Lytechinus pictus: one gene and its partner. The protein of the gene in region 2 binds, or shares a complex with, the protein of the main gene of each other region. Links are inferred from orthologs where the notes say so. Each region holds a gene or a part of one and is shown on either strand. Other genes may lie near its edges.

Evidence for each region.
Region 1: ribosome biogenesis protein bop1-B-like (region 2) and pescadillo-like share a complex: the UniProt entries of both Homo sapiens proteins name them as parts of the peBoW complex. The link is inferred for Lytechinus pictus from reciprocal best matches to the Homo sapiens genes BOP1 and PES1.

What each region holds. Positions count from the first base shown.
Region 1 is NC_087246.1:20,635,978-20,653,433, reverse strand, and holds the start of pescadillo-like, read right to left. Parts: upstream 7,217-17,456; coding exon 7,205-7,216; intron 6,852-7,204; coding exon 6,772-6,851; intron 5,566-6,771; coding exon 5,412-5,565; intron 4,403-5,411; coding exon 4,293-4,402; intron 3,883-4,292; coding exon 3,711-3,882; intron 3,368-3,710; coding exon 3,278-3,367; intron 2,017-3,277; coding exon 1,900-2,016; intron 956-1,899; coding exon 767-955; intron 1-766. UniProt on the Homo sapiens protein: Component of the PeBoW complex, which is required for maturation of 28S and 5.8S ribosomal RNAs and formation of the 60S ribosome.
Region 2 is NC_087246.1:26,847,872-26,864,296, forward strand, and holds the start of ribosome biogenesis protein bop1-B-like, read right to left. Parts: upstream 6,149-16,425; 5' UTR 5,889-6,148; coding exon 5,823-5,888; intron 4,289-5,822; coding exon 4,141-4,288; intron 3,578-4,140; coding exon 3,474-3,577; intron 2,343-3,473; coding exon 2,148-2,342; intron 1,542-2,147; coding exon 1,390-1,541; intron 255-1,389; coding exon 35-254; intron 1-34. Other genes in the region: uncharacterized protein LOC129282199, read left to right, coding at 14,544-14,710, 15,760-15,944. UniProt on the Homo sapiens protein: Component of the PeBoW complex, which is required for maturation of 28S and 5.8S ribosomal RNAs and formation of the 60S ribosome.

The DNA of each region.
Region 1 (17,456 bases), about 6.2 Mb from region 2:
GGCAATTTTTTTTGAAAATTGCCCCTGGTCTGCAGCTGCTTATTTCAAGGCTTGATCACCATCATCAGCACTATCATTCTCCATCACCTTCAAGATCTCCACCATCACCACAACATTATCGTAACTGTCATCACCACCAACACCATCATCTTCCCCATCCTCCAGACCACTACCTCCTCCTGGCCCTTTAAAAAAAATTATTACTTATTTATTTACCACTCGTGGGATGGAATACCCTATCAGCAAATGCTGATGTATATGTGAATGTTCTTTTCATGTTGACCAGCCACCCCAAAACCAACAATAAGTCACCAAAAATAAATTTGGAGTTTTATATAGAGTTTGAAAGAGCACATCCTAAGCTTTACAATGATATCCAAATTGTTGAAATTAATCCAAAATAACCCACACCTGTTCTTAATTGAATGCAGAAGTAACTAACCGAGAGGTTAAAATAACATTTGAAGTTTTGGGTTCACTCAAACATGAGATGTGCAAAGTCTGCAATCTCGGTGAAACTTCAAAGCAGTTCGGAAAACTTTTGTCAAAGAAACTCTTTTAGCATGTTTGTATTCAACTTTACGTAATGTCAACAGTATGAAGAAGAAGAATTACTCTGTCCTATTGGCCTTTTAATTTTTTTTCTTTTGAATTACTATTTTTGCTATTTACAGAGAACCTTCCTGGCAACTTATTCTTGGTCCTGGGGTTGCTGGTCACATATTATCATCTTTGATAGTATCACTTCATATTCATTTGAACTCACCCCACCAGCAATAAGAGCTTCTTCCTGGTCTTGATCCTGTTGGTTAGCTTCATCTTCCTCATCATCGATACTTGACCCCTGGTTGACCTTTACAAGGTCATGTACAAAGGAACCTATAAGGTCATCTACCGTATCGTCATCTTCCACCTGGTCGGCTTCTGATTTAGTGCTCTGTACTACTGTTGACAACTGTGGGGGAATAGATATGAAATAGCATTTTCATACACTGCCAAATGGATAATTTTCTTTCAAAGTTTAATTGAGGCTCTTGTCGATAGATTGAATGTAGAAAGCGATTGGGAGCTATGGTAATCATATAACATAAGAATTAGAGTATGTTGCAAGATTTTGAGAAGACCAATATTCTACACATCAACTCAGTTACTGTATTCACTCATAGGCAATGCAAACAGATATACATGTATGGGAATAGTATACATAAAAATGTTTGGCCCAAACATAACAGCTTTCTTAGTGTTACATTGTTAAAGTTTGGGCATCTGAAAAACATCCATTGCAGGGGGTCATTTTACAATAATATTCTTCCTAAATGATATGAAAAGAATATTAAAACTCACAATGATTGCATTCACCTTTCCAGCAACAGGAATTTCAACTCAAAGGTTAAAATGAATGTGTTGTCAGTGATTCTTACAAACAAATTTGCATTCAGCCAAGGAATTCAAAAACTTGCATGTATGTGTTTCACACAGTACAAACTACAAAATCTCAACTACATCGATGTTGTGATCATGTGTGCATTGGCATTTGCGACTTTTAGTCAGAATTTAATCCATGTGGAAAATTTCCCTGCCGATTGTAAATTTGAGTATATTAAATCCTTTAATCTATAAAACAGCACATACAAGAAAACTTTAAAAGGGAAACAAAACATATCAAAGGCTAATCAGACGAGCATTGATGCTTATCAATAGACATTTAGCAAATGTTGTCCATAACCTCATAGCGCCCTCCCTCAGAGGATATAGAAATACATGTAAACGGAGTTGTCAGAGATGCACCAGCTGCAGATCGCCGATGCTGGGAAGGCAATGGCTTGTGCCTCTAAGATGGCGACAATGCACAAGGGCCATAGGTCATGCATGGCCTTGCTGAACCCACTTCCATCTTACCTTGGGAGGATAGTGAAGGTTAAGACTTGTGAAGAGTTTGAAGTTGACAAAACCTAAGAGAGTGGTGTAGAACTCTGTGAATGTAGACATGATCTTCAAATCAACATCACCGGGCACCTGTAACAAAGAATCAAGGATGAAACAGCGAAAATAAAAACATTGTTACAAAAGACTTTTGACTAAAAACAGAATCAGAGTTTATCACATCTAAATATCTAGCACCTGAATCTTTGGTGCCTAAGGCAGGAAGAGATCATAACTAAACATACATGTAGCAGTGATGCAATGTCCCATTAAAAAAAAAATTATTTAATCAGTTTAACGTTGCTAATTAGTGACATCTGTACCCTTTCTATTGCTGCCATGACATTTTCAAACTTTATATAACAGTACCTGAGATAATGAAATTAGAAATGAAATATTTCTTTGGAACTTTACAATAAATTTGTTGACCAAATTTGGTTCCGAGATTTAAACATCAAAGAGATATTTTCAGTGTGAGCATCTGCTATCAGATTTGGGAAAAAGAGGATGATAACAATATTCTTATCACGTTGAGAGTAAGCACTACACACAGAAATACAAATATGGGGCTCCAAAAACACATTTGGGGCAACAGAGATATAAACCCCATTTTGTGTGCTTGTTAGAAACGGTGGCAACTTGGTATTTTGACAGTAGAGGCAAGGTGTCCAAAATGTGACTATAATAATGAAAACACTTAGAAAGGTATTCCGAAGTTTCACAATTCGGCATTATCTTCTCAATACTCTTTTTCTTTCTCATCCTTTATAGAGTACCGAAGTGATGACGTCACAAAAAACTTTTTTTTTGCATTTGAGCGTTTTTGATACCATATTTAGGTAGCGCATGATGAAAATCCCCCACCACCAAAATTAATGAGAATCCGTCCATGGGGGCCTGAGATATGACCTCATGAATACTTACCGGTAATTAGCCCCATTGAAGCCAATGCATTATTCGCCTGGTTCCTAACTTTTAGAACCAGGCCAATAATACATTGAATTCAATGGGGTTAATTATGTATTCGTGAGGTCATAACTTGGGGCCCCATGAACCAATTCTCACCAAATTTGTGTTGTGGGGGTTTTTCATCATGCTCTACTAAATTATGGTATGAAAAGCGCTGAAATGCAAAAAGTAAAAATTGATGACGTCATACTTTGGTACTCTATTATACTTTCCCCGCAATCCCTGTCCTCTCCTTTTCACTTGAAAAGAATAAGGGGGTTGCGCCCCTGCCTCCTGCCCTGAAGCCTATGGCAGACCCTCTCACATTTCATAACAATATTTGCCTAAAGGATCTTTGAACACAGGTTTCACTGTACAAAACACCATAGCAAGAAGAAATACCAACCGAATATCCAAAGTTATACGGAATGAGCCATGTTAATAGCTGTCCCTCAATCTCCACCTGGAAGTAGATCCCTTTGATGGACAGGAAAACCTACATGGAATGAACAACACATCAAGATATAACAGATTTTGCAAATTTTATACTTGCCATCTATTCAAGTTAGCGATTATACCTATTGGCTTAATATAAGTTAACAGGTAAGTTCATACTTGACTTTTACATTTGACTGGTAACCTGTTTCTATGCCACATGTCATACCCAAATTGGTTTTCTGTCAGCACTAAGTGCATGAATCCTACTAGATACCCACTTACTACACCTGGGTCATGTGAGGCAAATACAGATTAATACTGGTAAATCAATTTCTAGAGATTTCTACTGATCCACAAAAACTCTAATTGTTTTTGTCAGAGACTTTATTCATGAATCTCACCTTTTTGAGTGACCTTGATGCGATGACATAGTTCATGAACTCTACGACAAGTCGTCTGCAGAGGGGGAGAACTTCGCTCTTCACTTTGGCATTCTTACGAAATGTACTGAACAATGAGCACAAGGTCAAAGGGTCTTCAAGGTCACGGAGAGCATCAACAAACGTTGGGTATCTGTCAAACACAAAGATCAAGAAAAATATTCTAATCCAATGATTCCAGTCCAAACTTCCTTAAAATACAACATTTAAACTCTTTGGGATAGCTGATGGTTCAGAATGGGACACTAATAATATTCAACAACGTAAATAATACTGAATGAATCATACAAGAGTGAAGTATTGGCCCTCAAAAGTTGAATATTTGTATGAGGAAAAGTCATCCAATACTATCATTCGTATCTTTAATGATTATTTTTCATTAGGCCATTAACATAAAATAGATTAAACCCCAAGATTTTAGTTCATATTCACATCTTCAATCTATATTGTTTGTATAAATTTCATTTGCAAATGTCATTGTAATTATTTTCGACCACTTTACTTTGTTCTGTCAAAAATGAAAAATTGAAATGAATTGAATACCTCTCTTTAACAATGTGATCGAGCTTATACTTGGGTTCATTGCGATTAAGTCTGTCCAATGATGTCCATTCTCGCTTGGCCTTAGCTTTCCTCACTTTCCTTACAAAAACCTGAAAACCCAGAAAGAAAAGAGTAAAAGAAAAAAAAATTGAAAGATTAAGATTAAAATCTGGATTCTAATGAATACTTGTACATATACATCAAGGGTCAGACAAACAGTGCACATCATATGGTAAATAAACTAAGAGTTATCACAATAAAAAGAAGATAAAATAAAAGAACTCCCCAATATATTAATTTGAAAGGAAAATCTATATATTCAATGTGAACTTTCGGGTTATTTTCACTTCATTAAGGAAGATTATGATGGTAAAAATGTCAAGTCCTGCAGATGTCCTGATATTCAAAATATGTTTGGGCAGAACATTTGTGTGTAGTCCCATCCAGCCATTACTAAGTGTGGGTCATGTGAATCAGCAAAAATAGTTAATCGATACATATTTCAATGATTTCAAAATCATACAATGTCCCACTCATTAATATTTTGGGACATTATAATCAGTATTTCCTAATCACTTTTAAACAGTTTTCTCTGAAATTGGACCTTCAACACTAAACAGGCCCTTTTTTGTCTTCAAATACAAGCATTCGTTCACCTAGACACCAATACCAATTTAACAATCTCTTTCCACATTCTTTTCATGCTGACACTCATACTATTTTGTGATAAATTTGTATTATACATCTTTCACATCTTGATTTTTTATCCTCTCTGAACTTGACAGGCAAAGATAAAATAAAATACCCAAAGAACGAAAAAACAAATGTTTTTCATCAGGCCTTAAATACTACACGGGTGTAGCATCAAAAACACAAGCAGTCGTGACGTGAAATTAGCTCCTGAACAATTCATGTTTGAACTTCTCTGAAGGTACAGGATAAGGGACATGCTTGAATTTTCTGTTCAGGATTATTTTCAGGAGGCAGAACAAGGTGTTTGGGGCAAAATTGTGATAAAATTATCAGAAATAATATCACCCTTTTTTCCCCTTAAAAATAAGATTGAAAATCATCATTCTGTGAATATCAATCAATACATTCTTTGAAAAGCATACATACCCTATGATCCCTGAACTTTTGAACGATGGGTTCATGAGCCAAAAATTGGATGTCTTTGAATCTGAAATAGGTTCTGTGAAGTTTCTGCCCCTTTCCGGCCTTCTTGATACTCTTTGGTTCAACCGGATACACCCCTTTCAGAATACACAGCCTCCTGTAAAGAAAGACAGAAAGATAAAGATATATAGCAAAAGAAAAAATAACAAAAAAAAATATTCAATGGAAATATTCATTAACCATTCCCTAAAGGACAAGTCTACCCCAACAAAAAGTTGATTTGAATAAAAAGAGAAAAATCCAACAAGCATAACACTGAAAATATCATCAAAATCGGATGTACATGTACAATAATAAAGTTATGACATTTTAAAGTTTCGCTTAATTTCACAAAACAGTTATATGCACGACCTGGTCGGTATGCAAATGAGGAGACTGATGACATCATCCACTCACTATTTCTTTTGTATTTCATTCCATGAAATATTCTAATTTTCTCTTCATTGTCAAGGGAAACAACAATTCCTCCCTGAACATGTGGAATGAGCATTGTCTAATAATATATGGTTCAGTCAAGGTGGTCCTATTTGTCAAATATGTAAAAAATTAAATATTGTATAATTCAAACAATAAAAAACAAAAGAAATGGTGAGTAATAGACATCATCGTGCATTGTGCATATCTGTTTTGTGAAAAATAAGCGAAACTTCAAAATGCAATAACTTTTTTATTACTTTTTTATTTCACATCCGATTTTGATGAAATTTTCAGCGTTGTTTGTTTGATTTTTCTCTATTAATTCAAATCAACATTTTCTGGGGTGGACTTGACCTTTAATTATACAAGGATGTAGACTGGTCAAATTATGTTAATGTCAAAGGAGCCCCCCCCCCCTCCTCCACCAACAATGAATTAGTCCTATGATAATTTTCAAAAGAGGTATGCCCTGGCTGACGCAACATTTCAGTCTTCAAAATGAAATTTTGCCTGATTAGTCAGCTTAAAAAAGACTTTCTTTACAGGGGCCTTTCTTCTTTCATGTATTGTATTCACTGTATATGTACCTAACAATGTGTTTGGTTCTCTTGTTACTTCCAAGTGATATTCTTAACAATCATATTTGGGGGGGGGGGCAATGGCTGATAGCCCTCATGTTTGTTTATTTGATTTTTTTTTCAGTTCTGGATTTGCAGATATTCCAGTTTCAAATGTGGCTATCCAAGATGGATCAAACATCATCATTTACTTTATTCAGATTAAAACATTTTTTTTAGTTACATATTATCTTGGCTATTTTTTAAGTAAAAAAAAAAAAAAAATCAAATTTAAGTGACATAAAAAAGTCAAATTACTTGACTCTCACCTGAAATTGACAAGATTTAACTGGAGTCTCTTCACAGCTGATGCTCTTGTTATGAAGCTAGTTGCTATACCACTCTTGAACTGTAAAGATTAAAATACATGGTGTGAAAAACATTTTGATCCTAGATTTGACAAATAAGCATCATTCTGTTTTTCACATTGATGTATTGCATATAGCATTCAATGTACGCTTTGCTTATTACATGACACCATCCAGCCATGATCGCAAGCTATTATTAACCTATGAATGAAATTATAGTAAACATGTGCATCACAAAAAGACACAAGTTCAACTTCAAAGTCAATGGCAATGCCGTTATCACTGCACTGTTGATAGGTCCTACTTAGATTTGATTCAACACCTTTCGTAGGGATCCCAAAACGAAAATCTAATTTTTTTAATCTATGTTTAAAAGCATTGAAAAGTACCTCACCTGAATCAGCATATTAAAAAACCCCAAGTGAATGACTTTTAGTGTTACAAAGAGATCTAATTATCTGTTAATCTGAGGCTAAAGTGGGTCCGAATTGTGACAGATTTGTGTACAAATTTCATTTTGAAATTTCGTCGACACGTATTCTCAGAGCTCGGCACTGAACGAGGGATTGTGGGCGTGTCCTTTCTCGCCTCGGCGTATTGTTACCCAAATACACAACTCGAACGAAAGTGCGTTCACCGTCCCAGTTAGTCTCGGATCCGAGCTTATCCAAATAAACAATGATTAAATAACAACCAAAAATAGAAAGAAGAGAAAAGAGAAAATAAATGGCTCAAATGCAGTCGTTTGGTGACGGATACTGTATGCTCTGACCTCTTGCTGATTTAAGGATTAGATATGACATAAGTTTTATGCCATGATAACTAAAGCATGGGGGGGGCAGGGGCACTCTGACTTTCAAAATAATTAATTCTTTAAACATCTATATCTAGGCAAGGGAGGGTCCAGGATTTTCCAAAGGAGAGGGGGCACTATTAGCGGCGGCAGTCAAAAAATTAAGGGGGGGGGGCACCAACATTTTTGACAAAAAAAGGGGGGGGGGACCGAAAAAAAAAAATTAGCCAAAAAAAACCCAACAACGTCCCCCATAGGCAGCGGGGGGGGGGGGGGGGGGGGGTCGTGTCCCCCCTAAATTTGAGGTGGGGGGACAATCGCCCCCCCCTAATTTTTTTTGTTGATAACCTTTTGTTTATTTGCTTGTAATTTTTTTTTCCTGCCTGCCCCCTAAATTCCAGTGGACCCCCCTAAAAATTTCATGTGGTCTCCCCTAAAATTTGGGTTGATAAACTTTTTTTTTTTTTGGGGGGGGCTTTTCACAAAATTTTGGTGGTCCCCCCCCCCCCCCTAAATTTTTGCTTTACGTTGCCAATGGTCCCCACCTCAAATTAAGGGGGACAGGGCCTATGGAGGCACATTTTCCCGATGCAAATTTGATAAGCATTACAAAATGTTTTTAAAAAAAATTCAAAATTTCGTCCCTAAAAATTGACAAGCAAAAAAATTGGGCCTATATATATCCTCACTTTCAAGGGGCATGCTTGGGTAAAAAGGGCATGTTTATGTTACAAATTACAAATTTGGCTCTCGATAATTATGCCCCTTGGATCCACCAGTAATCTAAGTGGAATTTTTTGTTTTTAGTTTTGATATGGCTACCTTCTCGGAGGGCGTCCTCGCCGCGGTAGCTGGATAGTGCTGCAAAAGAGTAGGCCTTATACATCTTTTGCAGCATTAACTGACACTCCGAGACTTATAATTTTACCTTATACTTAAAAAATGAATAATACAAAATAAAACATAACACTTGTTTTTGGAGTAAGTTGATGTCAAAATATATTCAGTCTGGGGCATGAAGACTTGGAACTCTGCCCCATATCATTGTACTTGCCTCGCTCGATTTGTATCATAAAAAAAAATTAAAAATGTTTCCACATTAAAATATACATCTAAGTACAATGGCCAGAAATAATAGTACGAATAAGCTAGCAGAATTTGTATCATACCACCCATATTATTGAACGCCAACGAAGGCAGTTTCTAAATCCTGTTTGCTTTATCCCACTTTTCCACTAAGATTTATCCCTTTTGCGTGTCATATGAAAGCAGTTTTGTGCGCAGATCTAGCTTACCGGTAGGACCACATGCAGTCATTAATAGCTCTCTTTAATTTTTTTTCAACAAATGATGTCTCATGCTTTCGTTAAAATTAATAAATTAGAATCCTTGTATATGGCCCTGGGAAGTGGGGTGCTCGGGTTGTGACCCCCAAGTTTTTTTTTGTTTTTTTTAGCTAGTGGTGCGTTTTTTGTACACGTATATAGTTTAAAACAGGAAGAAGAATGACATTGATTTTTGTACCGCATTATTTTCATTAATTTATTGGTAGAAATACCAAAAAAAAGTTTTGAAAAAACATTTTTCAAAACTATTCCGCGGCTCCTGGAAGAATGGAGAAATGGACGGAAGGAGAGAAATAAATAGGATGAAGGGGTGGATCCAGCTTTCGCCAAAGGGGGGGGGGGGGGCAAATTTTTTTTCACCATTATTTTTCCCCAATCGGCCGCGCGAATATGATTTATATTTGTTTCTTTGAAGAAATGTCACTTCTTAGCTTTTGTCTTATAAATCAACATAAATATATAATATCATAACCCTTTTTATATAGTGCGAGCTAATTTATAAAAAAAAAATATGTTTTTCCCCAAAGTTTGAAATTTCTGGGCAATGTTTATCATGAAAAAGACGTGTATGCAACTAAATAATTACTAAGAACGCGAAGTGCGAACAGAATTGAAATCATAGGCACTTTTTGTAACTTAAACAGGATAGGTATATAACTTAGCAATTGATGCGAAGCGCGAGCACAAAATTGGAAGATTTAGACCTAAAAACGAGACATGTCTAGTCATGTCTTTTAAATCATCATGGAAAGGATGTTAAATTGCCGATCTTTGTTACTTTAATAATGCTCGCGCAAATTAGCGAGCATAAGATTTTTGTATACGTTTTGAACTGATCAAAAAGGTACCTGTTAAGGACTGCTTATTTCACTTAGCCATGGAGACGTTACATATTTCAACAATAAAATAATGCAAGCGCAAGCCGATTTTTTTTTTACACTTCTACATAAAGAATGGAAAATTTTAATCAATTATTGTGACCATGAACAGGATCGTCGTTATAAAACAATTAATGCGAGCGCGAAGCGCGAGCGGAAAAAAAATCGACATTTAAATTTTAGACCTAAAAAATGGGACACTCTATTCCTGTTTTGTATAATAAGGATGAGTAATAGGGGTTCTTCCTACATAAAAAATGCGAGCACAAAGCGCTAGCAGAATTTTGTATTTCAGAAACTGGATAATGGTTGAAATACTAACAAGTTGAGTATCTAGATAGACATGCGAATCAGGGTACTAATGGATAATTCGTTTTTCATTCCTGATTTTCGTAGAGCAAAAACGGAAGTCAACCTCATGGATTGGTCTTTGAAAACACAAAAACGAAATCACAACGAGAAAAACCCCGTTGTGATTTCATTTTTGGAGATCAAAAACAGAAGAATGAAATCAGAAATACTTTTGGTCCTCTCTGATACCTCATTCTATACCTGTGTTTGTTATATATTAAAAACAAAATCAGAACACGCTTTCTACCCCCTGATTCTGTTTGGAAAAACGCAGACAGCGAAAACGAAATCGGGTAGTTCGCTTTCCACTTCCTGCTCTCTGATTTCGTCTTTCGCACAGCCAACAGCCAACACACGTGCACGCAGTGCAGTGCATGCATGATAAGACCACGTGCAACAAAAATTCACTTTAACATGGCTTTTTCCAGCGTTTTCGGACCTTCGCAGACAGTGGCGTAGCTAGGATTTTTTCCCGGGGGGGGGGACTGGGGGTCCTTGCTTTTTCAGGGGGGGGGGGGGCACCGGCTATTTTTTGCGGTGTGTGTGTAATAAAGTAATTTTTCAAGAGGCCCCCATGCAGGGATATCCCGACGGCCTAGCCAGGGTAACCACGTACCCTAACTTGTAGAACTCGACTCGGGCAATAGATAAACACTGACTTAATTGACCCGGCGCATGCACATTTAGGGGGCTCAAATTAACAAAATTAAAGGGAATAAAGGGCTATTTATCGCATTTTTAAAATTAAAATAAGTATTTTTCAAGGGGCACCCAGGGATATCCCGACGGCCTAGCCTGGGTAACCACGTACCCTAACTTGTAGAACTCGACTCGGGCAACCAGATAAACACTGACTTGACCCGGCGCATGTACATTTAGGGGGCTCAAATTAACAAAATTAAAGGGAATAAAGGGCTATTTATCGCATTTTAAAAATTAAAATAAAGTATTTTTCAAGGGGCCCCCAGTGATATCCCGACGGCCTAGCCAGGGTAACCACGTACCCTAACTTGTAGAACTCGACTCGGGCAACCAGATAAACACTGACTTGACCCGGCGCATGTACATTTAGGGGGCTCAAATTAACAAAATTAAAGGGAATAAAGGGCTATTTATCGCATTTTTTTAAATTAAAATAAAGTAATTTTTCAAGGGGCCCCCAGGGATATCCCGACGGCCTAGCCAGGGTAACCACGTATCCTAACTTGTAGAACTCGACTCGGGCAACCAGGTAAACACTAGCTTGACCAGGTGCATGCACATTTAGGGGGCTCAAATTAACAAAAGTAAAGGGAATAAAGGGATATTTATCGCATTTTTAAAATTAAAAGTATTTTTTCAAGGGGCCCCCAGGGATATCCCGACGGCCTAGCCAGGGTAACCACGTACCCTAACTTGGAGAACTCGACTCGGGCAACCAGATAAACACTAGCTTGACCCGGCGCATGCACATTTAGGGGGCAACTGGTTAAAGCATCTCATGAGCAGATCTTATTCATATATTATACTCAGTCCTAAATCCTCCGCCAATAAAATAGCTCCGAAAGCTGAGTGACACCTGTATTTTTCTTTTATTTGCACAAAATATGTTCAATGGTTGCCCATTCTCTGTTTCTAGAATCAGTCTAATCATTATACATATTCTTTTTTGTAATCAACTTACAAATTAAAAAAATGAGAATGGGTTGGGTCGAATTAATATCTTCAGCCTTCTGTTGTAGATCGTCATCTCTTGGAGAAAAGATGGGGGCGTATATCGATAGAAAACGTATTGTCAAAATATAAAATATGAGTATAAAGCTCCTCTAATCTTCGAATAATTCTCATGAGACATTTTCTTTTGCACGTGTAGCCTTCAATTCAATTAATTAGCAACTTAATATAATATGTGATGTATGTATCCGCGATTTGATTTAAAAAAAATGGCCATCTGCAATGTTTAAAAATATCACGAGGTTCTGGGGGCTCCGCCCCAGACCAGTGGCGCCACCGAATGGGGAGGCCCCAGTGAGTTGCCCCCCCCCCCCCCGAAATTTGAAGAAACAAAATGTATAGTAAACGTTGTCATAATACTCCAAAAATGTTTTTTGTTCTTTAAATTTTAAAAATATTCTCATCCATTCACCGTTAGCATTTAGATCCCAACAATTTTGGTCACTAACATAAATCTTTCAGGCCATTATATAAAATTCAAAATGTAGCTCGCGATACGCGCTCGCAGTTATTAATGATTATCTGTTCACATGGGGCTTAAAAATCAAATGTTATTAGAGTTTTCATTATTTGTTTTAGCGAGATACATATCCTGCGTATTCATAATTTCCATAGAGGATTTATTTTCAGCGATTTAGATAGCCATTCATTTTATAATTTAAAAAAAAGCTTAGAACGGCCAGGTATCATCCCGGATATCAAAAATTTTCAGCTCACGCTTCGCGCTCGCATTATTCATTTGGTGAGATATCATCTTCATGACCCAATTAATGCAAACAGCTGATTCTTAACAGTTCCCTTTTTAAATCAGTAGGGACTGTATTTGCAATAAAATTAGCTCGCGCTTTTTTTTAAAATGTGTGCCATCCCCCCGGCCCCAAAATGTTTGTTTGCCTCCTCCTAGGTTAAAAACCCTAGTACCGTCATTGCCCCGGACCCGAACCGCATAGCACTGCCCCCCCCCCCCCAAAAAAAAAAAAAAAAAAAAAAAAAAAAGTTCTACAACCGAGAAAAAAAAATGATAAAAGGAAAGAAAGAAAAGGAAGAGGAAATATATGTCATTTTCTGCATACCATGTCAAAATCAATCTCAAAATTGAAGGTGATTTTTATTCTTGCTCGCTTCGCTCGCTGGAGACTTATTATTAAGCAAATTTTTGCTGCGTGCACCATGGTGTGCCCCCTCTGTTTTGTTCTTATCTCGCATTGAGCTTCGCACTAATGCTCGGGGCATAATCATAAAATATCCTGTTCATACAATGATATGACCCCTCCGTTCTCCCTTCTCTTTCTCTCCCTTTCCCCCTCCTTTTCTTTCCTATCTCTCCCTTTCGCTTCTCTCTCTTCTATTTTGTCTTCTCTCTTTCCTTGTTGTTTTTTACTCTACCCATCGGCAGCACTAAGGGATGGGGGGAAAAGTCAGGACCGTGGTTCCCCATGCTTGAAAAAGCCCGTATTCCTTTACTTTTGTTAATTTTAGCCCCCAAAAGGTGCATGCAACCAGTGGCGTAACAGGCGGGGGGGCAAGCTGCCCCCCTTCCCCCTGGCGGAGTTCACCGTGAAAATGTTAAGAGAAAAAACGGGAAAAGGAAAAAAATAAGGGGAGAAAGAAAGAAAGGGAAAGGAAAAGGAAAGGAAAAAAGATGAAAGGGGGAAAAGGGAGGGGAATAGAAAAGGGTAAGGGAAAATAAAACTAAGAAAAAAAAGGGAAAACGGAAAGAATTTGGAAAAAGGAAGGAAAGAAGAACATGTGAGGAAGAACAATTTTCCCAGATATACACATACATTAGCATGATTAGTAAGACAGGGAAATGAATTAAAGATGACAAAAAGGCAAACAAAAGCGGGAAATTAAGGTAGAATGGAATGAGGCAAAATCTAAATTGGAAAATAAAAAAAGGGACAAGATATTATTACCGGGCTGCTGAGGATTGAAGATAACGAGCGGGAAAAAAAGATGGATGGTATATAGCATAATTTCGTATGAAAGTCTATTATAAACTTGCTAAATTTTCATATTCGGCTACCGTATATTTACGTCAACACTTCCTCAATTTTCTCTTCAGATTTACCCTTTTGCATTACTAGTCATGAAAGAATCATCTTAACTGGACAGATCGATTCGAATCCTGGAGGTATATTCTGTTTAACTGATATTTTTAAGGTGGATAATAATTGAAACTGGTGAGATTTTTTGACACTTCGTGAATTGGATAACTTGGGGAATAAATTACAGTCCCACACATTCATTTTTTTGTTATACCGCCTTAACCGGTATTTCTGTGGTTCAACCGTACCCAGTGCCAGTGGCAGTGCGAGAGTGTGTACTGGATTAAACTTTAGGTGTGACTATTGTGAATTGATTCGACTTGCAAATTACACTGCTGGATGGTAACTATTTTTCTTCTGATCTCTTGTCTTAATCAACATCAATTCTCCATCTCCATAAAATATGCCGAAAAGTGACACTGTTACACAACTATTGGATAATTCAAGATTTACATCAGCTATCCATGAAATGATTGAGTCGGTTGTTGAGGAGAGATTAAAAGCTCTCATTGAAGAGAATGAGGAAAATAAAGGTAGAATATTAGAACTTGAACATAAACTCCGTCAGAGAGAGAGTGACTATACTTCTCTACGGGAGAAGCTTGAGAGAGAAGGAGAAAGGAGTAAAAAACTTGAGAGCCGCAGTGACGATTTAGAACAATATAGCCGAAGAAACAATTTACGAATTTTTGGTATCCAAGAGACCAAGAATGAAAATACTGACCAATTGGTCCTACAGGTTGCAGAGAAAATGAATCTGTCACTCTCACTATCAGACATTGATAGATCACACCGGACAGGCAAGCCTCGAAGTGATGATATCGGTGCACCCTCTGCTACTGGGAAATCGGGGAAACACAATCCCCGCCCGATCCTGGTAAAATTCACGAGTTACAAACCTCGCTCAAAGATGATCTCAAATCGAAGAAAACTCAAGAGAACTGGTATCAGTGTATCGGAAGATCTAACTAAGGCCAGGTTGAAGTTGCTGAAAGCTAGTTCCTCACACCAAGCTGTGAAACAAGCATGGACATCCGATGGCAAGGTCATAGCCCTCCTAAAGGCTTCTAATGGGCACACCATCAAGCGACTCATATCAACTGAACGCGATCTTGAAAATTTGCCATTGTCGACAACCAATAGGATCACTGACACCTAGTTAAACCTTTGTGGAAAAGATAATCACCTCAAAGCACACGAATATGTTCCTTATACCCCACTATGTGAATGCAATCTTCACTTTTCTAACTTCAACACATATGTAATCCACCTCTTTTTCACAATACCTACATGTACTTCTGAAGGAGGATCACTGTCTTCAACATTCAACTTTTTCACAACACCTGTTTATGATACGAAGGAGGTTCACGGTCTTCAACATTCAACTTCTCTTCTTCACAACACCTATTTATGCTGGAGGTTCACCGTCATCAACATTCAACTTCTCTTCTTCACAACACCTATTTATGATATGAAGGAGGTTCACGGTCTTCAACATTCAACTTCTCTTCTTCACAACACCTATTTATGATATGAAGAAGGATCACGGTCTTCAACATTCAACTTCTCTTCTTCACAAACCTATTTATGCAGGAGGTTCACCATCTTCAACATTCAACTTCTCTTCTTCACAACACCTGTTTATGATATGAAGGAGGATCACTGTCTTCAACATTCAACTTCTCTTCTTCACAACACCTATTTATGCAGGAGGTTCACCAGGGACCTGGGAAGCGGGGGTGCTGGGGGTGCTGAAGCACCCCCAGAAATTATCCTGGGGGTGCTGCGTGTATTATTTTCCATAGGCAGCACCCCCACGAAATCAGGTTCCCCCTGTATTTTTTTTTAATATGTTATAATGTACATAATTATCACATCCGACAACCGCAAATCATTTACATAGTCTTTCACATATTCCAATAACATCCCTCCTATAACGCGACTCAATCAAGCTCCAGCGGGGCAGCGCTCAGATACAGACGTGGTCGCGCACAATACGTGATAACCATACACACTCTTCGATAGCAGGGATGGACATGGGGTGGTTGGACTTGAAACTTCCAGGTTTTTTGTCGAATCAAGTGAGCGTGCGCCCGACCGCCCGTGTATTGTATACAAAAATTACAAGTCAGACAATAGAAATCATATTTTAAAGTCTTTTTCGCCCTGCCCCATGGCCCTACGGGCTGGGAAGCGGGGGTGCTGCGTGTGTTATTTTCCATAGGCAGCGCACCTCCTGGAAATCTAGTGGTAGGTATGATAAATGACAGAAATGTAATGAAAATGAACGACGTTTTGTAGAACCCCACCCCCCCCCCCCCACTTCAGAATTTTCCGACACATTGAAATAGTGTTTAAATGCACCCTCTTTCAGATCGGAATATCAAATATTTTCTGCTCGCGCTTCGCGCTCGCATTATTGATTTTTATAATAAAAACATGTATTTAGAATGCCCAGATACTAGGTCTAACTCTAAACACGCGCACGCATGTTTATTCAGATACGCAGCTTTATTTGGGGGGGGGGGGTACTCCGGGCTGAAAATATTTATATCAAATACATTTTATCAAAATAAATAAATTTTATCAAAATCTGATAACGATTAGTTAAGTTATTTAATTCTAAAGTTTGGCAATATTTTATGAAAATGATGATATGCAGTGTCGTCATGAATATTTAATAGGTGGGCTGATGCTGTCACATCCCCACTATCCTATAGCTGTTCCTTGTGGAATCAAAATTCATTCATTTTTTCCATACCAGAATGAATGATATGTCTCCCTTATAATGAAATAAGTTGCAGCAAAGAATATCTAATGGACTAAATCAGTTGTCAATTCAACTGTTTTGGTTCTTGAAAGGAAAATATTGAATAAACCTAATTGTATATAATAAAATACAAAAGAACAAGTTGGGAATAATGCTAATCTTTAAAATGCAATAACTGTGATATTCCTTGTCTGATTTTTAACAAATCCTTATTCTTATGTTGTTCGTCTGAGTTTTCTTTACCTGTGAAAATCATTTTACATTCAGTGTGGAGTTTCAGATCAGAATATCAAAATTTTTCTGCTCGCGCTTCGCGCTCACATTATTAATTTAAGAATATATCCAAATACCCATCATTTTCTTGATTTACGAAACATGAATAGAATGTCCCGTTTTCAGGTCTGAAATCTCAATTTTGTTTCCGCTCGCGCTTTGCGCTCGCATCAATTGTATAGAGATATACCTATCCTGTTCATGATTAGAAAAGTGCATAAGATGTCTCGTTTTTAGGTTTGAAATCTCATTTTTATTTCCGCTCGTGCTTCGCGCTCGCATCAATTGTATAGTTTTATACCTATCCTCATCATGATTGGAAAAGTACTTAGAATCTCTCGTTTTTTGGTCTGAAATCTCAATTTTGCTTACGCTCGCGCTTCGCGCTCGCATCAATTGTATATATACCTATCCTGTTCATAATTAAAAAACGTGCTTAGAATGTCCAGTATTTAGGTCGGAATGTCAAATTTT
Region 2 (16,425 bases):
ACATTAAATCAGAATAAGCAGGAAACAGTTTTACCTTGTCTTTCTCAGTGAGTGAAGGAATAAAGCTTCGTTTATGAGCCGGTCTCCGGGTGACTGGATGGATCATCTTCTCGTAAGTGAAATGATCGATGTAAGGTTCATACGGGTCAAAGGTCGTCTCGGGATAGAAGCCTCGTTGGATTCGTTGAATGGTCAATAACTGTTCTTCACTGAGCACCACATCTTTACCAAGCTTCTTATCAAAGACAGTCTTCCTATAAACGATTACAAAACGGATACCAACATATACAGTTGAGGCCAAAAGTTTACAAACACCCATGGAATTCAGTGAAATTTGTTCGCTTGCCAAACATCATAAAATTTACTAAATCTTCAGAAATATAAATACTACCATGACAAATTTGGTATCAAGTGAAAGATCGTATTAAGCTTTTTCACATGATTAAGATTCCGTTGGGATATAACTATATTTCAGATGGAAAATCTTTGAAGAATAAAAAAGTAATATTTGTGACAAATGTATTCTATTGTTTGTTGTTTTTATCTTTAATTTGTCTAAAATATGAAGATTTTTGGGGAAAAAATGACACCTAAATATTTTTCATCTCCTAATGACAAAGCAATGTGATGAAGAGCATGAAATAATCATTTGTTTGATATCAAATTTGTCATGATAGCACAAATATTTTATAAGATACAGTAAATTTTATGTTTGGCAAGTTTCAACTTTTCTTTGAATTTCCTGGGTGTATGTAAACTTCTGGCCTCAACTGTACCTTGTCTCTATCAAAGACAGTAATCCAATGAACCCCCAAACACGATCAATTTATCAACAATCTTATCAAGCTTTTAATCAAAGACAGTCCTCCTTTTAACCCCAAAAACAGAATCAGTTACCGACATCTTTACCAAGCTGTCTATCAAGACAAGCCTCCTATAATCACCCTCTTCCTCAAAAATGCAATCTTTTAAAATGTTTTACTCAGCATTTCTTTCTCTATGTACAAATACAGTATGCTATCTATATTACATTTGGAATACCATCCTGAAGATTTAAGTGCTTATATGAGCAAACTACAAATTCACGATAATTAAGTTTATGACATATGGGAGAGTTGTCCATACCACTTGTCACAATTTACTCATCAAATTGCCAATTTGAAATATACATAGTCTCAGCGATCTAATTTTTCAAATAGCAATAACTGTTGTTTTTTTTTCTGGCCAAACTTTAACCTTTCTCATCATACCTTTCATATGACTCAATGAATCACAAAAAATTGATATTTTCCTTTAAAAATACACCTCATACGTCTTACATAATAAATAATCTACAATAAGTGGTGGTTTACAAGTCTTGTTTATGAGAGGATGAGAATGAATTCTAACCAATAATCGGGGTTATCCATCTTGTTGAGGAATTCATCTAGTTTATCTCTTCCTTCTGGTTTGACTATCCGTTGACCTTTGACATCGTATCCAAGATGCTTGTAACCTTCATACCACTCCATGGGGATATTCCCTACTGTGTTCCTTATGTCCTGTATGATCAAAGAGAAATTCAGGCGTAACAGCACATGGAGATAAAATGGCCATTTTATAAATATTCCTACACAACTTCTACACAAAGGCAGCAAGAGAAAAATATTATATAAATATGTAATCAAGAGTGCCTGGTGAACACTGTGAAGACAAATAATTAATAAATGAAACAGTCATGGTTTACATTATTAAAGTCCAAAGTAGATTTGATGAAACTCAGACTCTTTCATTTTATTTTCACATTGTGAATTCAACTTCTACCATAGTATGTACCTCCTTTAGATCTTTTTAAATATGAAGATTCCGAATTGAGAACAAAACAAGGAGTTCAACTCCATTCTAATTCAAATTTATTTATATCCTGATGACATTTTCAGTATTTATCTTTCCTATTACACCACTACCCATACCATCCAAGCATATGATTTTACCCCCAGCCCCCCCCCCCCCCAATGAAAACACCAAAGGGAATATTCTTAATTCATTAACTGCCAGAACCAGGTGGTCCCTGTGCAAAGTCTGTAGGAATTTCAAAATTTAGTAGTCAACAAATTAATTCAATTTCACTGGATATTGGATGGAAATTACATGTTGAGAAAACAAACCTCTTCATCTGATGAATCAAAGTCATATTCATTGCTCTGAGGTGGTTGGTTGTCCAAGGGTTCTTTGGGGGATTCCCCTGCAACAGCTGATCTCAAGGAATTGTCAGTGACATCATCGTTGTTCTTGGCTACCTTCTTTCTATTAAGCTCTTGCCTTTTGCCTTTCTTCAGCTGCTTCCCTTTATTCAGGAGTGTCTGTGACAGTTAGAAAAGAGAAGTAATTTGTATGTCATTGGTTTTATATGTAAGTATATTCAGTGACCAAACTGAGGGTTTGCATTAAGCAGTAAACATCTTTTATATGAAATGGTATGAAATCTACTATTTAACCATACAAAGAGCAGAAACTAACTTTATCAACTGAACAGTCTCTTTAGATATGCTTAGAAATCTTTAAGACCAACAATTAGTTAATTTACAAAGTGATTTTCATAGTGGAAAGCACTGAATACAAATTATCTCCCTCAATACAGGTATATGTATTTTCTTTGGAATACCTGCCAGAGCCAAGCACAAAAGAAATATATCAGTAATTACTCTGATAAAATATATATATTTTTTAAATCTATTTCATATATTGTGAAATGTCTTCACATCCTTCAAATATATGTCATCTGCAAGTGTCCTTGTCTCAAATATGCAAATAATCTGTTGATTTTTCAATTTATTTTTTGGTCACCGATACATGTTATTATTCCATCAGGATTCCAAGAAATGCAACTTCCTGACAAAACACAAAAGAGTTTGTATCCACATGGTCTACTAGAAGATCTAATTACCATTTGGTATAATGATCACTTGGTCTAATACTCCCTTGATCTTTTCTTTGGTCTCATGCCCAGATGGTCTAATTTTGACTTTGTCTACTTCCTATTATCTTACACTTTGTCAAAACAAAAATTGGGTTCATAAACATTTTAATCATATAGATTAAGTGGTGTTAGACCAAGTGGATAGTAGACAAAAAGGGTATGGAGCTGAGCTGGAAATTAGACAAAATGGTAAATCGGCTTTAAAGACAATCAGATTAAATGGTTAGCAGACAATAGACAAACAGGGTGCTGTTTCATAAAGCTATTCGTAATTCAAGAGCGACTTTAAGAACGACTGGTAATCCTTTCTTACGCGCTAATTCATCGCAATGAATAAACCATTTACCATAAGAAAGGATCACCAGTCGCTCTTAACTTACGAACAGCTTTATGAAACATCCACCAGGTTGAAGATGTACTAGGGTTGATCCCTGTGGGATGAGACCAAACAGAAAATCAACAAAGAGGTTGAAGACTGTGGCAATATACACTGTATTACAAAAACCATGATTACCTTAGGTTCATCTTTAGTTTCTTCATCATCGGCATCTTCACTCGTATCATCCTCTTCTGACATCTCAGAAAAGGATTCATCATCCTCATCACTGGGATTGAAGTCTGCAGAGGAAAAAATTACAAAACAATCAATCGTTTGAGTAGTGATTGTCAATTGGTGAATGAATGACTAGCTGTAATGTTAAGAAAAAAAATCATCAGGGTGGGGGGATCAATATTTCTTTTGCAGGGGCTCTTTACCCAATCCTGCTCATTTCCAACTATATTTTGTATTGGAACAAATAAAAATTTGTGATTATCTTTCACTTTATCGGGGGAGGGGGGGTGGGTGGAAGGGGAATTTTTTACATGGGGGGTACCTTTATTCCCCATGCATTTTATGTGGGTGGGGCTGCTTCTTCGCTTTAATTGCACTTGCTATCCAGGCATGCGAAGCTTTATCTGGTGAAAATAATTGCAGAATATTGAAGGATGAGGAAAGGTATTCAAATGCATTTCACCTGATATGGGAAGTGGGAACGATAAATGTGCAGGGAATAATTTTCCTGGTATATATTGGAAATTTTTCCAAGACTGACTGCACAAGAAAAAGGTATTTGTGTAGGGGGCATTTACATGATTTGAAAAGGAAATATTATTCCATGAAGTGGTACAAGGAAACTAACCTTCATCCTCTCCATCACTATCGTTGAAATTTGGAAAGGGGTCATATTCTCCTTCTTCACTATCTGTAAGACTCTCTTGAGATAAATCGGAATCAGTGCTGTCATCATCCTCTTCCTCATCTGCAGGAGCATCTACGAACAAGTTGAACTTTAACAACAGAAAATAAAAACAGAAAGAATAATATTAAATTTAGGTGCAGGTGCGCAAACATTTACTTGGATTGCGTGGATGTAGAGACTAGAGGCATAAAGCTTTTCTGCCTCTTGTTACCTTGGACTGTCTACTTTCACTTCACTTTTTATTTCACTTTTTATTCGAGATTTTGCCCATGTCGCCGGATGATTAAGTAGTGAGTTAGTGAATGTGTAGTGTACATGTCTAGAGTGTGTTGGTGATTTCAGTGAAATATTGCTGAGTCTGCTGAACGGCCGCACACCAACCCCCGGTCACGCACAGATGCAGTTACTCTCGATCTAATTATGAATATTAAAAATCTGTAGAAAATTAAGTATAACTATAATGAACAATGACTAACATTAGGTATCTAGACCATTATTTAATATGTCGAAATCATTGCAATGATTGCACAAAAAGCTTTTAAAAGATTAAATGAAAAGCATGTCCTACAATACATTCCCCATAATTTATAAGCTATGAGTATGACTATGTATTACAACTGTGTCATGCCCAAAACAAAGAGAATAATAAGATTACGCAATCGTCTTTTGTCCACAAAGTTTTGTATCAAGATATGACAATCTAGTTCTGGGTGTCGGAACAAACAGTTTTATGAATCATAGATATTGAGCCTATTGTCAGTAGAGGCGCACGGCCAATATGGGAGACTCTCTCCAATAGGGGAGATAATCTCCCACATTGGAGACTTGCATTGCAAAAGGACAAAAGAAACAACACCAACAAAAGCATGATTTTTTCCACCCAAAATTTTGTCTCACTGAGGTCAGAAGCCCATTTGTTTTGTGTGTGATTGACAACAAAAATCCTTATCAAAACAAAAGTAGACGGTGAATATTTAAAGTAGACGGTGAAAAGGGGTAATTTTTCATGAGGAATCTGCTTATCACATTTTTATTTGCCGCCAAGGTAATCCTTTTGCAGCAAATGTAAACAAAGGAAATTGGACTCCAAAACTGGAGACTGTCTCTGAAATTGGATACCCAAATTCTTTACAAAAGTCTCTGATATTGGAGATAATCTCCCACATTGGAGACAGTCTCCAATATTGGCCGTGCGCCTCTACTGATTGTGAGCATATAATTAAAACATGCTCGAACAGCCTTTCCTAATTTTCACCTGAAGTGCCTAGCAAAGTAGGGCACAGTTGGTATACGGTAATAAACGTCAGACCTCTCACCACGGCATGCTCAAACTGACAGTCACACTGACTAGCCGACTGAATGAACATACCATACCATTACATGGCGGTTTAGTGTATGTGCGATTCGAACGAGATTTCCCGGAAACGTGATATCCCTATGTAATCTGTGTGCACAAGAATCGCGATAATCGGTAATGGGAATGGCCTCCTTAGTGGTCACCGTCAGTTTCTCATTCCAAATATCGTAACTCCGTTCATTCACGTTCTTTCTACATTTATACAAGTGTTCAAACACATTCCATTACTTTTGAAATTCAATTATTTCAACTAAATCCTACTAACCTTTTCTTCTAAGTCATCATTTGCCTTGCCACGTGCGGGCCTCTTTCTTGAAGTCGCAGCCGACATCGTGCATGCTCATTAGCAGATACCGTACCGTATAAAAAGGAAGAAGAAAAAAACAATACTGTCTGAAGTCTTTAGTCTTTTAGACTGTATTTTTTTTCAATTATTGAATTGAATTAATTGAATACATTTATTGTCCATAATTTTCACTGATTCACACACATGCAGATACAATGTATAAACACAGAACAAAACAGAAGATGATGAAAGCATGTCATCATGAGGAAATAATTCCAACTCAGGTATATAGTTCATATTATTCTGGAATAATCATGTTTGGTTACACATTTACTTTAGTTATCGACAAGATAAGTAATGGATCGAAGCTTATGCAAGTGCAATCGTAATTGTAATAGAGAGTAAAGGAAGTGCAAGAGTGGTGTGATATCAACTGATTCTAAGAAAATCTTAATAATAGTCAAAGTTAACTCGTGATTAATCAATTAAAAGAGTAGGGCAATACATAAATACGGGCGAGCGTTAAAGTGAAGAATACCATTGGGGACAAATGATTGTCTAATTTGTCTCAAACGGCAATTTGTCCCCAATGCTATTCATCAAAGCGTTAACGCTCAAGTCCGAAGGGATAGTTTTTTTCTCTCTCATTTGGCTTTAAAAAAATTATTGTTGGGGTTAAAGTAAAAAGAAAAAAAAAGAGATGAATACCATCATGAGGCTAACATGAGCGCAAAATAAAGTGGGAAAAAATCCAGAAGATTTTCTTGAAAACTGATGTAATTGTTTCATCCTGTATGCACATGTATTCAGGAGGGCGGGAGTTTGCCTAAAGGGGAGCACATTTTCCCAAGGAAAATTTGACAAGCCAAAAAAAAAAGGTCCTCGTATGAACAACATATTCCCATTATAATTTTTTTTTTGAAAGGGGGGGGGGGCGCACCGGGGGGACATCCTCGTAAAAGAATGTCATATTTACTGATTAAAAATTTGGAGTGTTGCCCTTGATCAAAGGGTTTTCATCAAAAATTGAAGGCCATTTTATCCAGGCACTTAAAATTTGACGAGCAAAAAAAAAAAAGGTCCTCACTTGTGTATATGAATAACAGAGGGGCCGCAGAAGCGGGGGGGGGGGGCCTTTATTAGCCCCCACTAAAAAAAAACCTTGTACAAAAACGTAAAAATTACCATATAGTTGTGATTTTGGGAATATAGTCAGTCCCCCACTTTTGGCTCACCCCCCCCCCACTTTGAAAACCATTCCGCGGCCCCTGCAACATATTCCCATTATAAAATTTGAATGATTTTGACAGGGGGGCACACTCGTGTAAGAACGCCATATTTACAATTGGATGATTGCTCTTGATCAAATGGGGGGGGGGGACGTACGGGTCGGATGTGCCCCCTGGATCCGCCACATGCTCATGTGATCGAATATGACTATATGCCCTGAGAAAATATTCCTTCCTGTCTGATGAATATATTAATCTAAACAAAAAACCCTATCACACTATAAATTGCACTAAGTAGACCAGGGGCAGATGGCATTTTTGTACAGAAAAAAATAAACGACCCCCCCAAAGGTGAAGGTCTACTCCCAATTATATGTCCGCCTCGACAAGCAAAAAAAAAGGTGCTCTTTTGCGTGTGCACGCATCGACTCCCTATAATATTTTTTTGGCTCACAAGGGGGGGGGGGGGTGGGGGGGGAGGGCAGGACCAGATGTGTCCATGGTTGCATGGATAAAATAATACTGACAATATTATGAAATATATTGGTAGCCAATAATACAGAAGAGGGCCGGCACGAGGCATTAATTGCCATTATATTATATTTAAAAAAGCTACATAAAAAGGGGAACTTTTCGCATGATCTGGTATTTTATGCTTGTGAATAAAAAGCAGCGGCGTACGCAAGGGGGGGGGGGGTGTTACAGGGGAAACCCTCCTTGATTTTTGAAATACCCAAAACCGCACCCCCTAATTTTTTTTTTTGAAGACCCTTTTTTTTGCTTGTCAATTATTTTTTGGGTAGGAAACGACCTAAAATTGGTGGTGGAGACCCTTTTTGTTGGTTATCAACATCGGGCATTTCATTCAGCTTGAAACCCCTCCCCCTTTACTCCTGCGGGGGGGGGGGGGGGGTTAAAGCCTCAACACACAAATGGAGCATATGGAACGGATTCGTGAAAATACTAGGTAGAATCTCTGAGAACAAACAAGAATAGTAATGACGTCCATTTGGGAAGGCCTATAAGGACCTTTATGCTGTAGGCCCGAGACTGGGGCTACTATAAAAATCCCAATTCCAGAAACGAAAGCAGCCGGAGCTGAAAATTCCAATTTCGGGGGACGTGTGTATGTGTGTGTATTTGAGTTTTGTCAGACGTGTATCAATCAGATATGATTATTTACGTCTGGGACCGACCTTTAACGTCACCATCCGAAAGACGTGACCATCAGGGCTCGAACCTCGAACCTCTGCATCAATTTGTATTCCCCACAGCTTGGATTACAGGCGCACGCCACAACGCCCAACGTGTACATAGTGCTCATGAGTCATGACCATATCACTTTTTGTGATGAAGGTCTTTTTCATTGTTTTTTTGTAGATGACCATTTGAAGAATATAGATCTTATCTTTATGCGATCGAGCAAATTTTGAAAACATGCACGACTGAATGGTGCCCCAAAACGTCTTTCAGGTTTGATTTGATTTGACTGTTTTCTGCATTCATAAAACTCGAATGGGCCAATAGACTCTACATGTACATTTGATATAGTGGGTGATTCCATACGTGTCGTACGGGACATTTAGAGAATATAAGACAGTTTTTTGACAAGAAAAAATAATTCCACTAACTAAAGGTGATCATCAAGTACTACCAGAGTGTTAGGAAAACCAAGACTTGAATTCACATCCTGTATAATACAGATTAAAAATAGTAATGTGTCGTATGGACGCAAAAAAAGTGGCTTTTTTAGAAACCTAAAGTTTGTACTCTAAAGTCTGTGAGTTGGACAGATAATTTTCATAAAAACTGAACTCAAATTGATATTCAATTACCCAAGAACAAACACATCTATGAAAGAAAGCAAAATAAATATTCATGAATAAATAAAGCAAATTATCATTTTCGAGAACATTGTGGCGTACGGGACACTCAAAATGTGTCGTACGGAACATTTCTAAATTGAAGCCAAACTTTCTTACTTTATGTCTCTTTGACTTCTTCAATCACTTTATTTGGCTAATTATAATGATAATCCTATCAAACTAAAGACATTCATTATGTTAGAAACCGCTATTGGCTGAATATTTCTGTCAATATCATAAACAAAATAATGTGTCATACGGGACACTTGTGTGTTGAACAGGCAAATGTACAATGGTTCACATCATTTTTACGAGCTGAAAAACTTGAGGTTTTGTCCCGGGTTTTGTGTGAAGTTATATTAATTGATGAATACACTATGAATGAAACTGTTTGTGTAAATTATGGGGCTAAAATGTTATGATTTTTCATATAAAATGTATACATACATGAAGTATGTCCCAACTCTCACTTGTCCACTTTATAATAATTTCACATTAGCATGCAAGTGAAGAGGAAGTCGTCTTCCAGGCTATAGGGTGAATCAATTATAAAGGTTTTCTTTTCATGCTCAATGACAAAGAAATTAACCTGCTCTGACCAGTGAAAATCACCAGTTTAGCTGAAGGGATTCACAAAAGAATACGCATATATGAAGTCAATTAAAATGGTTAGAATTACCTATTTCATGTTCTATGGAGATAAAAAAAGTACTTTTTCAGTTCACTTTATGTCAAATCAATTACTTAAATTAAAATAGGCCTACTTATAGTTTCTGAATCCAAATCCTGCAATTAAATGCAGTATATATTGTGTGTCGTACGGGACATGTCCCGTACGTACAACACACACTGTGTCGTACGGGACAACTTTTAATAGGACAATTATTGAAAAATGAAAGGCAGTAATTAGATCCTTATGGGATAAATCGATCACCCATGGGTCAAAGATTGAGAAACTGATATTTGGAAATTGCATCATCAAAAATAAAATTGTAGGAAAAACTTTTGTATTTTCATGTGTCGTACGGGACATTGCCAAAAATAGGTTCGAAAAAATCAGGGCTGCCCCTATTATGGATAATGAAAATGTTGTAGATATTATATGGAACCATCAATGATACATTATTCAATTGACCTGCAATATTTTCAATCTTCTCGTGGTTTGCCAATAATCGTTTCAGGCAGTGTTTGTACTTGACTATTTAATTAGCAAAATTATTGAAAATTCCATTGTTTCCTAAAAAAAACAACTATATCTGACTTCACTTTTGGTTAAAACTCATAATTTTCATAAAATTTAGGTATCATAGTAAAATATTACACTATTAATGACTTATTGAAAGCATGTTGAAATTTATGATATTTTTGAAGTTCTAGTGTGGAATCGCCCTAGTGATTATGATTACCGTAAGGGTACTAGTATTCAACCCGTTTGGAGAGTTTCTTCAAATATACAGAAATATGGAATTTACCTGAATTTCAGACCTGTCTTATTTCCAAGAGCAAATGCTGGTTATTCTTTTCCCGTTATTTTTTTCTTCAACCCGTCAACTGCGTGCGCGGGCGATCAAATTTTACGGCGATGGTTTTTGGTACTAGTATTCAATCCGTCGGTAGCTAGTATTCAACCTAGTGATGAAAGATGGCCCTGTCTCTCAATCTGCCCTTGTCCCATCCGACTATGGACTAGACCATTTGAGATGAGACCAAACAGGGAATTAATCAAAGCCAGAGACTTCCATAGATCTAGATCTAATTTAGCAATCTAAACCCTTTTGAAATTTGCTATCAATCCTCACTAGGTTGAATACTAGTGCCATTCAGTGCAAAAGGCCATCGCCGCATAATTCGATCCTCCGCGCATACAGTCGACAGATTGATAAAGAAAATACCGACAACAGATTACCCTGGAAATAACAAAGGTATGAAATCAAGATAAATTCCCTATTTCTAAATATTTGGGGGAATATGTCAAAATCTTTGAATTATGCCGGGTTGAATACTAGTGCCCATACGGTACTGGGTTTGGCATGAATCTTAGAAAAAAAAATATAGACTAAAATTATCATTTTTAAACAAATATTGTCTATGACCAAATTATCATAACATACACAATTTGCTAGCAGGACTGTCATCATAAGCAGTTTACTTGAAAAAAAAAGACAACCCTGTTCCGGGCCTGTTCCCTTGGCGCAAGCCATAATTTTTTTTTCGAAACAAAAATCTGGATGCCCGGCCCTCTACGTTTGTAAATTGAATAACCGTTAGCGAGTTTTCGGGAGTACGACGACGACATCCAAGAACGGTTTTTTTGAAGACGTAACATTGAAGATTTTTGGTAATATGATATGATATTTTTTAAACTTTGAGTAAAACACTTATTAAATGAACTACTGTCAAATTGGCGAGTTCGTTGTCTTGTCCGTTCTGATAATCGAACGACGTAGGGAGACTAGGCAGAGGCTGAGACTGTCAGTCACTACCGGTAGGCGGTACGGCTTCGCTCGCTTCGTGAGCTGACTCTCGCCGGGCCGGTCCACGGCTCCTGCGCTGCCGGCTGGCCGTTTCCTGGGCCTGGCCCTGGCTGCGTCGCATGTCGCTGCTGCATGCTGAACGATGATCCAATTAAATTGCAATTGTAATTGCACTTGTACTTTTTGTTCTCCTTTAATGCATAGAATTCGTCAAATCATCTGCATCCATAAAACACATCACTGTCTTATCGTCACGGCTCATCATGTTCATATTCGTAACTAATTTCGTAACCCAGGACAGGAGTCGGACTCGTCCGTGTACTACCGGTACTAGGTGACAGGTCTAGGCGGACATCACCCATGGCCCTGGGTACATTACCGCCGCCGTGCACAGGATAACCACTGGCACGGCACTTGCAGTAACATTGATGCCTTTTATTTTTATGTTAAAATTAGAAATAGAGTATCAACTATAAATCAAGTAAGCTTTGTAAAAATGTATATGAAACTTACCAAACGATATGAAGCCAATTTCAATTCCTCTCTGTCTTTCTGGTACTTTATATCGATGATTTTTCTTGATGTCGAAGCAGGCATGCTGCCAATTCGCTGGTTTTCTCTATACGCACAGAGAGGGCGCGCAATATTATTTAATAAACTTGCTTGTTTACGTCGTTTCCGTCAGATCAGCTGTACTGCTGGTTAACTTACTGCTGGTTGCGTTATAGGCACTCCGCATTTTTTTCGCTGTTCAGCGTTATTTTATGATGTAGCGCCATCAGCGATTATACGTGAGATGCCTGTTGATTTTTTTAGGTACAATTTCCTATTATGCGCCGGCGACTTGAATCTAGACTGTTCGATAGGAAAAATTCGCATTTCGATTGTTGTTTGCATAATTTCTACCGCAGTATTAAGGATCGGACGGAGTATCTTGGCTGAGATTTGGAGGTAAGCGTTTAAAATCCATTTTAATAAATACGTTCGATAAAAATTTTAAAATTCAATTAAATGATAATATTTAGATGAACAAATTTAGTATATTGTGAAGATTTAGGTGTGTTTCATATTCTCTCATTCGTGTGATGAATGAAAACGTCAAAATTCATTATGAAATGACATGCGTTGTGCGAGGTTAGTACAACTAACCTCGCATGTTTGTGTGAGTGGGCGGACATATGCTTTCCCAAATTGTAGAATGGGGTCACAATAGCACTCCAAATAAAAGGGAAAAAATAAATTATGCACTTACCTCGATTTATATGGAAGAAGCCAGAAGGTCTATCATGAGACACAGTCACAGAATCCTGACATCGAGGCACAAACTGGACCCTCAAAAAAAGGAAAAGTTAGACCTCTGTTGCGTTCGTTCTCGGTATCGATCGGCCATTTTGTTTCAACTTGAAAGATTGAGAACGAAGGAGACAGAATTATTCCTTTTTTTGAGGGTCCAGTTTGTGCCTTGGCCCTTGATGCATGTCATGATTCTGTGTCACGATAGACCTTCATTCATATAATTGAGGTAAGTGCATAATTCATTTTTCCCCTTTTATTTGGGGTGCTATTGCAACCCCATTCTAGTTTCTACCCCATTTTGGAGAGTACCCTCTGCCTAATATTACACGGATGAGTCCTGGGCTCCTACATGCTTCGCGGGCTGGAGCTCCCTGGGTTATGAATCGGGTAAATCGTTCACATACAAACAAACAAAGCAAAGAGATGGTATCCAAATGCTTGAGAGGTCTAATGTTAAGACTAACGTAAGGTGAGGAATCCCACTTTGGAGTTTGGTGCAGTGGTGCCCAAGAAGAAGCACAACCATTAACAATTACCGCCATATCCTGAAATAAGTCACCTCTCTTGTGTTTGTCGGAGAGTCAATGGGAGAGGAAAGAAGTCACCGCCGCTGACGAAATAAACGGCAGTGAATGGAGTGGTGACTTAAACCAGGATAATGCCACAATTACCTGCTGGGAACGATTTGCTATAAGAAACTTTGCACCCTGTAAAGTATGAAAATTTATTATAACTTTTTTTTTATTTTCGAGTCATGAAATTAATTAAGAAATGCAGGAATAACCGTTCTTTCTGGGGATTTATTTAACAATTTCTGACATTTTACTATCGTCCCCATTCACCGACGGTAGTACTCTTGCGGGGTTGACCCTTTGGAATTAACTAGAGTTAAACAAAAACAGACATCAGCGACCACCATCAGGGTAACTCTGAAGACATGCCTGTTCATGTGTGAGAATGCTTACAGACAGACATCTATTTAGGCATATGCATTCATTGTTGAATTTCCAATCATTACTGTCTTTTTTTTCTTGTAAAATTTGCTCTGAAGCACCATTAGCATATAAATAAGATGGAAAGTACAAGTAAATTTTTTATTATTACTATTGATACTAACTTACTGTGCTTACATGTTTTAGGCCTTTGTACCGACCAATTTATAGATAAAGCCATGAAAGCAGTGTTGCATAATCTGCCTGCTCTGGGCAGGTGGAACTAGGTAGCCCACTAGAGCTGCTATAGGAAGAAGGATTGAAACTCCATTTTGGAGAGGAGAGAGATCACCAATCTCCATGACTCCAACTGCATTCTGGCTCTCTGATGTCATGTTGAGGTCATATGTTTAGCAGGGTTTTTTTTAAATACAATTTTGTGGATGTGTTTTTATCAGTTTCTGAGATGTTTGAATGTCTTGTGGATAGTTGTGAGCTGAGAGATGTCACTTGCTTGTAGGCCTACATTGTGTAGTGATATTCATCTGAGTGTAGTGGGTTTCATGGTACACCATGTACAGTATCTTTTGTGGGCAATTGTTGGTCCTGAAAAGGACCACCCAAACTCGCCATTTCGACAAGTGTGTTCTTATCGTCTTCAGAAGAAATAAGGTGTACCGTGGTGTACTGTGAAACCCACTACGCTCTTCTTCTTTGCCATGGAAATCTTTAGAAAATAGATATTAATCTGGTAATATTTACTTAGGCTATACCAATTGGTAGTAAAGAATTGACAAAATTAGTCTCATGTTCCATGCTCTACGTCACTTCCTGAATCTTTTACATTTTCGTATTAACTATCTCTGTTCACAGATCTACATATGTGTCTAATATTGCATAGAGAATGAATACCAAGGAGAAGAAGGTGCTTCGTTTCCTTGACGATAATTCCATTATATCAGTGGAGGATAAGAGCTCCATTCCTTTTGATGAGATTACTTTGAGATCTTCAATAGGGTCTCCCATTGCAGCTTCATCTGTTGCAAGACCTTTTCTGCCTCTTCCACACAGGTAAACATGATTGGTTACTAGTAATTACTTTAATTCATGCCTAGGCTAACCAGTTAAATATTTTGCAAAAGTCCAAGCTATTTTTTTTTACTGCACTTTCCAGAGAAGTTGTGCCCAGCATGTTTCCTCTCCTATTCCCCCGTTCAGAGAAATCAATGGGGAATCGAGAAAGCTGGTATGCTCAGTTAATTTTTTTTTCCTTCAATACAAAAATTTATAATTTCAACTTTTGTGTATAATCCCATGAATTCTCACTTTGTAAATGTCATGACTTACTCATCATACACTTCTTTTTGAGTTTTGTAATATTATTTTTCACAATTGCAATATAATTTAATCTCACCTTTTTAAATATTTGCAATTTTTGGTTAAAAAATTTAATTTCATTTGCAATTGCAATTGTCGTATGTTTCTCTTTGTCCGTACAATGTGTAAGTGTATACAGTTTGAGAAATGTTTGTGTAATGATTTTATGTTCTAGCTAGTAAATGAATACTTAACTTTAAATAGTGTAAAGGGATTGTAGCACTGTTTTCATGTAACTCACATTTTATTTCAACATTTCATTATTATTCTCAATTACTGCATTGTATGAAATCAACAACTCAAAAATTGGAATGAAAAACTTGAATAGAAATCCTGGAAGTGGCAAAGTTATTAAAAATGGTGACTTATGAATCGCTCTAGAACAGTTAACCACACACTTCACTTCGGTCAATCAGAGTCATTGAGTGATGTTGGTAATATTGATCGCATGATGTCAAATTCAGGATCCCATTTCATAAAGACTTGTTATAATATCGAATGCACAATATCTATAACAAGGTTACTATCAGCCAGTTCAACTGCATGATTTCAGTAGCTTTAAACTGTTAGGCAAATTTGTTGTACATGTGTACGGTAATTAAATCTTTTATGAAACAGTGCAGTTCAGTTTTCATGGTTTTCCTCATGGTTTTGGTCATTGCAAAAATATTAACATCATTGAAATATTTCATTGTATTCGTAATGTTTACCCTTTTAAACATGTACATACCTTACCATTTCAGAGATGGACAAGATCTAGAGGATTCACATGCACAGCTATTCCGTCAGCTATCAAACACTATGAAAGGAGCTGCTGCTTTACAAGAGGATGGAGATGCAATGCCTGATTCTGCTAGGTCAAGGGTCAGCTTTGCCCCTTCAGATATGACTGATACATCATTGGGTATCCTCAATCTTGATGACCTTGGTAAGAAAATAACACTTTTTTGTCTTTTATTGGATAAATTCCTTAGTAGTGCTGGATGGTATTTCAATATCGAAATTGTGCAATATTGAAAAAATAATGAATATTTGATGATAGTTTTATGATTATGTTGATAGACCGTAGTACGCAATATGACCAAATTATGAACAATTAATCACTATTTATTGACCACAAATTATGCTGCTCTGTAATGCTTTAAACCAACTCAGAACTTTGTAAGTTGTTACCCAAATGCATGCTTTTCATGGACAAACACCAATTAAAGCTATACAATAGATTTCTTCTTCCCTGCTGTCAGGAAATTGCGGCCCATAATGAACTTTCAGACTCAGTGATGTATTGTGTTATCGATGATATTTTGCTTGTGATAATTGACTTACATTGAAATTAAATATCAACTGGTCAGCACTAGGATGCAGCTTTCTTTACTGCACCCAGGCTATGGAATAAGCTCCCTCCCTCT